Linked DNA regions of Canis lupus familiaris. The protein of the gene in region 1 interacts with the protein of each later gene in a biochemical or structural test. Links are inferred from orthologs where the notes say so. Each region holds a gene or a part of one and is shown on either strand. Other genes may lie near its edges.

Region 1 (5,551 bases):
GAACACAAGAGTGGGGGTGGATGAGGACAGACTATTCTCCCGCATTTCTCATTTTCTGCTTGTTATTTCACTGTTGGGAGGTGACCTCTTTTCCCTAATCCTCTTTGGACCCACAGGGTTTGATTCCCCTCCAGCTCAACCCTAATCCACCCCATCTCCCATCTCTTTATTCCTGGGGCACCAGCCCTAGTGGCATCTCTTCCTCCTGCTTCTGGGCCAGAATCTGCTAGAGTCAGGGCCTGTCTTCCACGGAAGGGCTTGCGAGGCTGAGTATAGGTGAGCCCAGGCAGTGACTGTAGTGGTTTGCTACTGAATTCTTGCTTGCTGTCCTGATCTCTTTACCTAAAGAGTCAGAAGGAAGAGCTGCTTTAAATTGTCCCGGCTGAGTTCAAGTTTCTCAGGGAAGGAAGAAATGGGACTCCCTACCCCTCCAGGCTCCCCTCCTCATCCCCATCTTGCCACACAAGACTCAGGGCTCATGCGCATAACATTTCTGGAGCCCAGATGACAGGGGAGAGAGAGCATCTCAACCAGTCTTACCTGGTAGGTCCTGGGACTGCAACTTTCTTGGGAGGCTGCAGATTGCTACGAGTGGCACCAGAGACAGGAAGATTCAGTCTCTGGGTAACAGGAACTTGAGGGTTGACAAAAAAAATGAGTTAGAGAGTTCAAGTGACCTTCTCAGAGTGAGTTTCTTGCCACCCAAGGTAAAAAAAAAAAAAAAAATAATGTATTTGAAAACCAGGGTTCAAACTCTGCCCGGGCCCACATCCTCTCTCTAACTCAGTATCCTCATCTTCAAATTGAGTTGTAATGAAGACAGACAGAGAAAGTGGTTACTGTGCCCAGCTCTGGGACGGCGCATTCAAGTTGGGCAACGGTAAGCATTCTTCCACCTGATTTCCAACTGTTATGTCCACTCTTCCTCACCTCTGTGCCCTGCAGCGCTTGGTCGTGGAAGTCCTTTCCGAGTTGGCAGAGAGGCTGGAGGCAGGGCACCTTTGCTAGGTGGTACACTCCGGCTGGTGAGTGGCATTCGGCTGGCAGGCCTGGGGATGGCCGAGGGAACAGGCAGTCGACTGGAAGGCTTGGCAGCTGCTCCCTGTGGCCGAGAGAGGCGCTGAGAGTTGCCGGTTGGAGGCTGTGGGGCCAAGACTGGCCTGACAGGCGCAGGCGGACCTGGTGGAGAGGAGTAGAGGAATTTTAGCATCAGCTTCACATCCTTTCCCCTCACATTCACCCACAGCTTTGCTGCCCAAGCCTTCTCACTTGCTGTTGCTCTCCCACTGGGGCCAGCTTTGCTCCGGATTGGAGGAGTGGATCGGGCAAGAGGAGAAGACGCTGGGGTTTTGGATCCAGGGAACAGATTGCAAGTGGGTGACTCCTGAAATACAAAGAGAGAAAAAATAGGACTAGAATGGAAAAAGAATCTGTTCTGCTGGCTGTTGGAGAAATAAGAGGTGGAGAGTTGTCTAGATCCCAGTAAGGAAGAGCAGACTTTTGCCAACATCATCATCCTCACCAATACCATTTATCACGAGCTTATTATAAACACTATAGAAAAAAAAAAAAAAACACTATAGAGATATGTGCAGTCACTGTGATACAGTAAGTGCTTTGCTTATGGTATTTTGCTTAATTCCAACAATTCTGAGGTAGAATTTTACTATCTCCATTTTACCAACAAGGAAACCACTCTGGCTGTACCAAATCACACACTGTATCTGAGGGCATATGTCCAACCCAGACCCTCCAAACTCACCCTCTTCACACTCGAAGGCCTCTTTCCAGATGTTGCCCGAAGAGCCCTGACTGACCCCTTCTTATCGCTGCTCCGGAGTCGAGGTGTCAGGCTGCTTGGGGAGGGGGTGCTCCGAGTCAAAGAACTCACAGTGGGCAGCAGGTCTCGGACTGGACTGTCTTTCAGCACAAAGGTCTCCCGTCGAGGGCTGGGCTTCACCTTGCGAGGCCCCAGGCTCTCACCTGTGCTGTCCTGCTCCTGCAGGGCACACTGCTCCAGCTGGGCTGCCAGCCGGTTGGCCTCGTGGAGAATCTCCTCCAGCTTCTCTGGACTAAGGGGGCCTAAGCTGAGCCTCACCCCTGGGGGTGCTGGGGCCACTGCATTTGGGTCACTTCGATTGGAGAGTCCTCTTCGGAGGGGTTTCTCTGGAGTCACCAACACTGCTACGTCCTCCTCCTCCTCACGACTGAGACAGAGAACAAACCAGGCACCACGCCCACGCAGATGAGAGCAGGAGACTGTGCAAAGGAGACTGGGCAACCTCCCCACGCCACTACAAAGCCAGGGAGACAGCCCCAAACCCTGATGCCCATGCTGGCTGTGAGATCTGGCCTCTAGGTGATGAGACAGACACCCGGTTCTAGGGGGCCTAATATGCCTTGAGCACTTGGCAACATTGGAAATGATGCCAGGATGAAGATGCAACAAATCCACTTACCCTGCTTCTTAACATCCTGAAACCTCATTCCAGCTTATCCGTTTCCCTTCCCCCAGCACTGTCACAGAGGCCCATGTCAACAAGTCACTCAGCAGCCCCACCGCACCCAGCCTGGCTACATCACCAACCCAGACCCCTGAAGCCGGTAATTCAGCTGTAAGGGGTTGGAGACAAAGAGGTATAGTTGGAGGAAAGCAACGAGGTTAGAGGACGGTACCTGTCACACGGCGACAGCCCTCCAAAGTCCAAGGTCTCGTCCGCTATAAACTTCACATCTGTGGGGGAGGAAGGGATGAATGCCAGCCTCCGGTCGCTGCCACGGCTCTCGGTCGCAGCGCCTCATTCTTCCCTTCTTCCTTTCCTTACCTTCCTCCAAATCTTCCATGTTCCCGCCGGCAGGAGCGCGAGTCAGCTGAGACCTGAGCTGGAGAGAAAATGCACCCTTGCTTCAGGTCTCCATCCTGCCCGAGGCTCCCAGCTGCACGCAGGGTGCAAACCAGGGGTGAGGATCACGCTGGGGGTAAAGCAGGGTTCCCAGGAGTAGCACCTGCCCCTGCGACCTCCGGGGAAGGTGCGGAGAGCGCGCCACCCTCCCTCCTCAGGCGGCCCAGCCGCCCCGCTACGAGCTGGCCTCTCCTCAACGGGGGCGGCCTGCACGCCCTATCTCCTTCCCCGCCACCATTCTCCGCTTCTTCCTCTCCCCAAATTACCTCTCCACTCCCACGGCACCGCACCCACACCACACCTCCAGGCCACCCTCCGTCTTCACTTTCCGCCCCGCCTCACCTCTTGCAGAAGGCGCCCGCCTCCCACCGCTTAGCCCCGGGAAACAGCCCCGAGGGGGTGGGGCTCCTTTCGAATCTCTCGGGCTCCACCCCCTCCGACCACCTGCGCCCAGTGATTGGTGGATACCAGCATCCCGCCCTCGGGGGCGGGGCGGCGAAAAGCCGCCGGCCGGAAGTCTGCAGGTGGGGGCCGTGCGGAGAGCAGTACTAAGAAAGACTTCATCCGGAGGGCTGAAGCCGGGAAGCCGCGAGCGCGCGCGCGTGCCCGGAAGACCCCCCCCCCCAGGAGGCGGGGCCTCGTGACGGCGCGCGACGGACCTGACCAATGAATGTAGGCCTCGCGCCCGGCGAGCTCCTCCCCTTCCCCGCCCCCTCCCCGGCGGTGGGGCCGCGGCTCAGCCTTCTGCCCGAAGACTGGCGCTGCGCCTGAGGAAATTCGCTTCCGGAGGTTTGCTCCTTGTGCAAGCGCCGCGTTTGCCAGGTCTCGTCGGTTGTGATTTTTACACGTTACGGAAGCAGCGGGACATTGCTGTTCTAGCGTATTGAGGTTCTCTCAGTACATCTTCCATCGTCTTTAAGCGAGGGCATTCGGAACCCGAGGTAGCCGAGGTGTGAAGAGAATCGGCTTTCGGGACGGGGAGGTCTGAGTCCGATTGCCGCGAGGCTCCATGTCAGGAGGCGGGCGGGCTTGAGCGTACTTGACCCCCGGCTTCTCTGCGGGGCGAGGATGCGGAGCGGCAGTCGGTTCGGGGTTCGGGGTTCGAGCTGCCGCCTCGAGTTTTCTGCCGCGTGCCTCGGGGGCTTTTGAGCGTGTTTGCAGCTTGCTGCCTCCCACTGCGAGCTGTGTTTGTGAGGTGCTTAACCCTCCTCCGAGATTTTCTCTTTGTTGTTTACCAGGGGTTGCCTGGGAATAGGCCGGGCCGCCAGCTGACAGGGCTTTTTAGAAGTAGTTCTAAACATTTATCTTTTTGTTTTAGTTTTTAAAGATTTTATTTATTTATTCATGAGGGACACACAGAGAGAGGCATAGACCCAGGCGAGGGAGAAGCAGGCTCCCTGCGGGAGGCCGGATGCGGGACTCGATCCGGACCCGGGGTCACGCCCTGAGCCGGAGGCCGACCTCCACCGTTGAGGCACCGGGGGTCCCTGTTCTAAACTTTTAAAAGACCGGCTGGCGAGCTTAGTCTCCAGGGTTGATAACCATCATTTTGGCTATTTATGGGCTTTGGGGGTCCACTTCCTAGACCCCTGAGGTGTGCAGGCGTCAGCGGTTGCTGGGATAAATGCCGCGGCGAGCGCAGGAGCCTGGGAGTTGGTCGGTGCTGAGGGAAAGGGTGGGGAGGCTTGTGTGAAGAAGAGCTGAGAGAAGAGGGTGGCCTGGTCTTCTTCAGGCCTGCTGGTGCGGGTGGAAGCCTAGTTGCTGGCCCTGGGGCTGCCTCGGGTTCTGTGGAGGTGGGAGAACGGGAGCCAGTAGCTTCCCTGTCTCCGGGCAGGTCGTGGCAAAGTCCCGTGGAGGAAGAGAAGCGCTGGGAGCCTGCGTTCCTGCCTTGCCTTGCAGGGAAACCCAGCACTTGCTGCTTCCCCAACCTCGGATGAGCGTCGCAGGCAGTGTTAGCAAATTGGAAGTTGGTTTCTCCTAAGGAAACTCTTCAGTTTCCTGTCACGAAATTATGATTTTGAAAGCTGTTGCAGTACAAGACAAAAAGCAATCGAACTACTTGCTCCTCCATCAGAATAACAACAGAAGCAGAAAATATAGGTTTCAGGCACAAGAGTTCTTTACTCAGCCTCAGCCTCAGGTTTCTACCCTGGGAATTATTTGTCCCTCTCAGCTCAACCTCAAAATGATATGTATGAAGAGATGTTTAAGATTTAGGGTAGTGAGGGACGCCTGCTGGCTCAGCAGTTGGGCATCTGCCTTCAGCGCAGGGCGTGATCCTGGGATCCGGGATCAAGTCCCTGGTTGGGCTCCGGGCATGGAGCCTGCTTCTCCCTCTGCCTCTGACTCTCTCTCTGTCTCTCTCATGAATAAATAAACAAAATCTCAAAGAAAAAAAAAAAGATCTAGGGTAGTGAATACGTGAATTAATAAAGAGATTACACCTGCTCCCATGCACATGGTAGGGCTTAGTTCAGAAGGAACTCCATAGTGTTGAATGGATAAATGACAAAATTAAGGATGCCAGCACAATCCTTCTGGAACGTGGAAAGATGAACTATGACCGGAAGTCTTGTTCAGAGTATAAGGGATGGCCCTTGAGTACTTCAACAGACAGCAAGGCAGCAAGGAGCTGTGGGCTGAGGCCA
Region 2 (4,226 bases), on another chromosome or scaffold:
ATCCATCAGGGGTTCAGTTAGTTTTGGAATGGTAACAAAACTGGCCACACTCTTGTTGGCTCCCTACAAAAACAGTCAATGTACCCCATCAGCGATTCCCCCCAAGTCATTCTTTTTCTGAAGCTGCATGTTCTTCAGGAACCTGTGTGCTGCCCAGGCACAAGCAGATCATATACACCAATGCCAAAGCTACTCTGAATCCAAGAGAACAGACTTTGTGCTTGAGAAAATATTTACTGCTGGCTCTTTAAAAAAGGTAAAGCCAGAGTAGACTCTTAATTCTTAGTTTATACTTTCCAGGTGAAATAGTTTTATACTTGTGACTCAAAACTAAAAATTCAGACAAGAGAAGCCCTTTATCTTGTAAACTTCTGATAACAAATTTATTACTAGTGTGTAAATATTTTGAAATTGCCCAAAGCACTAAGAACAATACTGGGATATTTGAAAAGGTTCTTCTGAAACTAAGATGACGACAGATAAAGCACAGAACACATTTCCAAGGGTATCAGCACAGGTCCCCAATGTCTCTGGAACCTTTCTTATTGTTTCTGACACTTTATCATAACTGTGTTTACACTGCAAACATATGCCAAATCAACCCAGAAAATAAAATAACCATCCCGAAGAGCTTCACTGTGCATAACTTTAAAACAGATAGGAAATGTTGAATTAGCATATCAGGAATTAACCAGACTTACAAGTGTGTACCTATTAGAAATTGTACCCTTTAGAAAAAAAAAATTTAAACTGGGAAGAAAAGGGGGGAAAAAAACCACCTTAAACCACCCCAAATTATTTAACCAGTAAAGCCAAACGGTTTAACAATATTTTGGGCTATTTTTAGGGACGACTCTACCACCAGGATATGAAATCTTCTGCTTAAAGTGAAGTAAAAGACAAAGCTTACAATGAAAACTGCAATTGACATACTCTGGTCCTGCAAGTAAAATGAAAGTGGCGGTTCCTATTCTCATGGGCATGTCAAAGCCGGCTGTGGAATGAGAAACACTGAGTGAAATAATGGATAAAATACACCAGAAAGAGTATTGCACGGGAGGCACTGTTTTAAAAACAGAATACACTGGCTTTATAAAGTTATTTTCTTTCCCATTAATTATTTTAAAAGCACGATTCAACGAGAGACAGAAGTTGAGACCCGATGTCTCTGGTAGTGTACTACAGTTGTTAAAAAAATAAGTTAAAAACAAGAGCACACCAACAGGAAAGCAGAGGTACTGGATTTATGTCATCCGAGAGCTACATTAATTAGGAAAGGAACGGTCTGAAACAGCCAATTTGTACTCATTAAAAATGAATGAGGTGACAGAGTTACTTTAAAAATCTCTTAGGGCATTTTCCAGTAGAACCCAGGACCCCCCTGGGTGAAACTGTGCCTTCAAACCTTAACAAGTGCTCTGCTGGTTTATAATGTCGTGCACGCCCATGAACCCATAAATTTGGAAAGGGTAAATTCTCCACTCCAGCCCTGCTTGTGTCATTTTGGAAAAACAATTTTTGTAAATTCAATATTGTATAGAAAGCTTGGACCTCTTAAACCTGGACCAAGAAACCAAATTAAGACCTTCAAGCATGTGGTGTGTGTGTGTTTATATATATAAAAAAGTCCCTCCCCTACCATGAAAACCAACCAACCAAACAAACAAACGAAAAACCTAAAAGTGTATACCTGCTTTCTGACTTCACAGCAAATCAGAAATTGCATAGGATATACTTTGTGCAAGGCAAAAAGCCTTTTAAGTATCTGGAATATAACTCCTAATCTTGCTCACAGTTCTGTGTACATCAGATATCATCAAATTTGTGTTTTAAGTAGTCTTTCATGACCTTGGCAATTGGTAGTTCATCAAGTAGCTTTAGGTTTTGAAGGCCTATACACTGTCGAATTTTAATTCGGCACAGGTCCTGCAAGTTTCTGGGCTGTCCTAAAAAGACAGAAAAAAGAAACTGTTACAAAGCTACACAGCACAGTATTTAAGGCAGGTTTTTGGGTTCTGAAAAGAACAGTTTGCTTCACCGGGACATGTCGCTTCCCATGCATGTGGACTTCCCATGCAAAGGACCAGACAGATTTTCACTGAGAGGACTTGGGGAGACTTCACGTGAGGTCTCATCAGATGCTTTTCACAACCCTGGGGTGATGGATATTTTTAACTCCATGTTACAAATAAGGACTCAAAGGATTAGGGATTTGAGCAAATTGCTCAATGTCAGGTGACCAATTTAAAGCTTTTTAGACAGAGACTAAAACCAGTTCTTCTGAGTCAAAGCCTGGTATTCTTTTTATTACAAAAGAGAATGGCGGTTTTCATCCTGGGATGCCTCTAATATGTTGAGTGAACCTAGGTAAGCAAATCATCCCTCTGGGCCAAAGTTTCTCCATCTGAAAAGTGGGGGGACCAAATGAGATGCTGTCTAATGGGGCCTCTCCTTTCAGCTCACTGTCTAGGACACTGGAGCCTAGACATATAGCATTATCTGCAGGGAACTTTCCCAAGTGACATCTGCCACCTGGTTGCCATGATTCTGGACATAGGAGACTCTTGGCTTTGGGCATGAGACTGGGGCGGGGGAGGTAGAAAAAGCACCCCAAGCTATTCTGAATCTATGTCTCTTCAAATCTCGCATCCCTCAGCATGTGCGAATAAAAACCACTGCTGTAACTTAACTCAAAAGAAAAATTACAAAAAATCAGTTTTTTCACTTTTGAAGACTGTATTTTACCAAAACGACTTAAATGACCCCAAACACAGGCAAGAATTCTAAGCAACAGTGCCTCAGTCATATCTGGACTCACATAAATTCTCCTTTCAGATTAAATGCTAACGAACGGCAAAAGCTGACATGTTGAATGCTTACTCTGTGCCATGTATCCTTAAGCTCTCCACATACACTAACTCGTTTCATCCTTTTATGAGGGAAGTACTTTGATCATCGTCCCCATTTTACAGACTCCTTGTGTCTCAGAGAGATTAAGTAACATGCTCAAAGTCAAGTAGAATGCCATACTTCAGCGATCTCAAACTTCTTGGTCTCAAATCCTCTTTGCATTTTAAAAATTTATCACAGACCCAAAAGAATTTCCAATTTTGTGGGTTATAACTATCAATAATTACCATATTAGAAGTTAAAGCAAATTTTAGAAATACTTATTCATTTAAAAAATAAAAATAAGCCCATTACACATGGCCATTGATAACACTGGTATAAAAACAACAGTATCTTAAAAAATAGTAAGAAGAATGATGTTCTTTCACATTTTTGCAAAATTCTTAAAAAGGATGTTTTAACAGATGACAACTGAGTTCTCATACATGCTTCTACATTCAATCTGCTGTAATAAAATCATCGTGTCTCTGGACAAGTCCACTTACACTCACGAAAGAAGAACATGAAAAAGGCAGATAATGTCTCTGTATTATGAAAATCATTTTGACCTCAGAGAGGTGAAAGGAGTCCCTAAGCCATACATGGTGAACCACTGCCAAAATTAGTGCTTCACCCTTTACTTGAACTGTCCTTGTTTATAGTAATCATCATTATTCAAAATTAAGTAATTCTTCATAAATGAAAAAGGCTCCTTAAATCTCTTATAAGGCCTGTGTGAACATGTGCTTTCTAAGAGTTACTTAACACATGGTTTTCTTTTAACAGAATTGTAGGAGCTACTGCTTTCCTAGAAATGCCTGTAAACCTGGAGCATGTGCAGCTACGGGTATCTGCACACCAATCTGTATGAGGCTGTGATACACACACACTCATGTGTCTCTCGCCAAGATGTGTCTTCTCCATTTTCCAGATGTCTGCTAAAAGGCACTTCCTTAAGGGTGACAAAGTCAGGTTCCCCATCAGATACTCCAGAGTTCCAGCACTTAATAAGACTGCACTTTTACATTTATTTGATGATTATCTATTAATGCTCACCTTCTTCACTAACATGTTCCATGAGGGCAAGACCACATCTGGCTGCCAATATAGCCCACTGCCTGAAATAATACTCAGTAAAAACTAGATGAATGTATGAATACTTACCAGGCTTGTTCGTAAGGGACAAACCAGTCAACTCACGGCAAAACCCACCCATGTCAACAACAAATCATTTTCTAACCTGTTTTGAATTATTTTTCACCACCCTTCATGGGCTACCATTAGGAAGGGAATAAATTATCATGGTCATTTTTTGATAAATGCTTACAGTATTTGAT

Evidence for each region.
Region 2: of the proteins of PSRC1 (region 1) and ASB7, one has a biochemical effect on the other in vitro, tested with the Homo sapiens proteins (2 studies listed by BioGRID, with this or other methods). The link is inferred for Canis lupus familiaris from reciprocal best matches to the Homo sapiens genes PSRC1 and ASB7.

Annotation. Positions count from the first base shown.
Region 1 is NC_049227.1:42,994,956-43,000,506, reverse strand, and holds the start of PSRC1 (proline/serine-rich coiled-coil protein 1), read right to left. Parts: upstream 3,474-5,551; 5' UTR 3,170-3,473; intron 2,884-3,169; 5' UTR 2,845-2,883; coding exon 2,826-2,844; intron 2,735-2,825; coding exon 2,677-2,734; intron 2,208-2,676; coding exon 1,763-2,207; intron 1,385-1,762; coding exon 1,270-1,384; intron 1,180-1,269; coding exon 931-1,179; intron 635-930; coding exon 541-634; coding exon of another isoform or gene 537-540; intron 343-536; coding exon 339-342; 3' UTR 1-338. UniProt on the Homo sapiens protein: Required for normal progression through mitosis. Required for normal congress of chromosomes at the metaphase plate, and for normal rate of chromosomal segregation during anaphase. Plays a role in the regulation of mitotic spindle dynamics.
Region 2 is NC_049224.1:40,739,087-40,743,312, forward strand, and holds part of ASB7 (ankyrin repeat and SOCS box protein 7), read right to left. Parts: intron 1,947-4,226; coding exon 1,807-1,946; 3' UTR 1-1,806. UniProt on the Homo sapiens protein: Probable substrate-recognition component of a SCF-like ECS (Elongin-Cullin-SOCS-box protein) E3 ubiquitin-protein ligase complex which mediates the ubiquitination and subsequent proteasomal degradation of target proteins.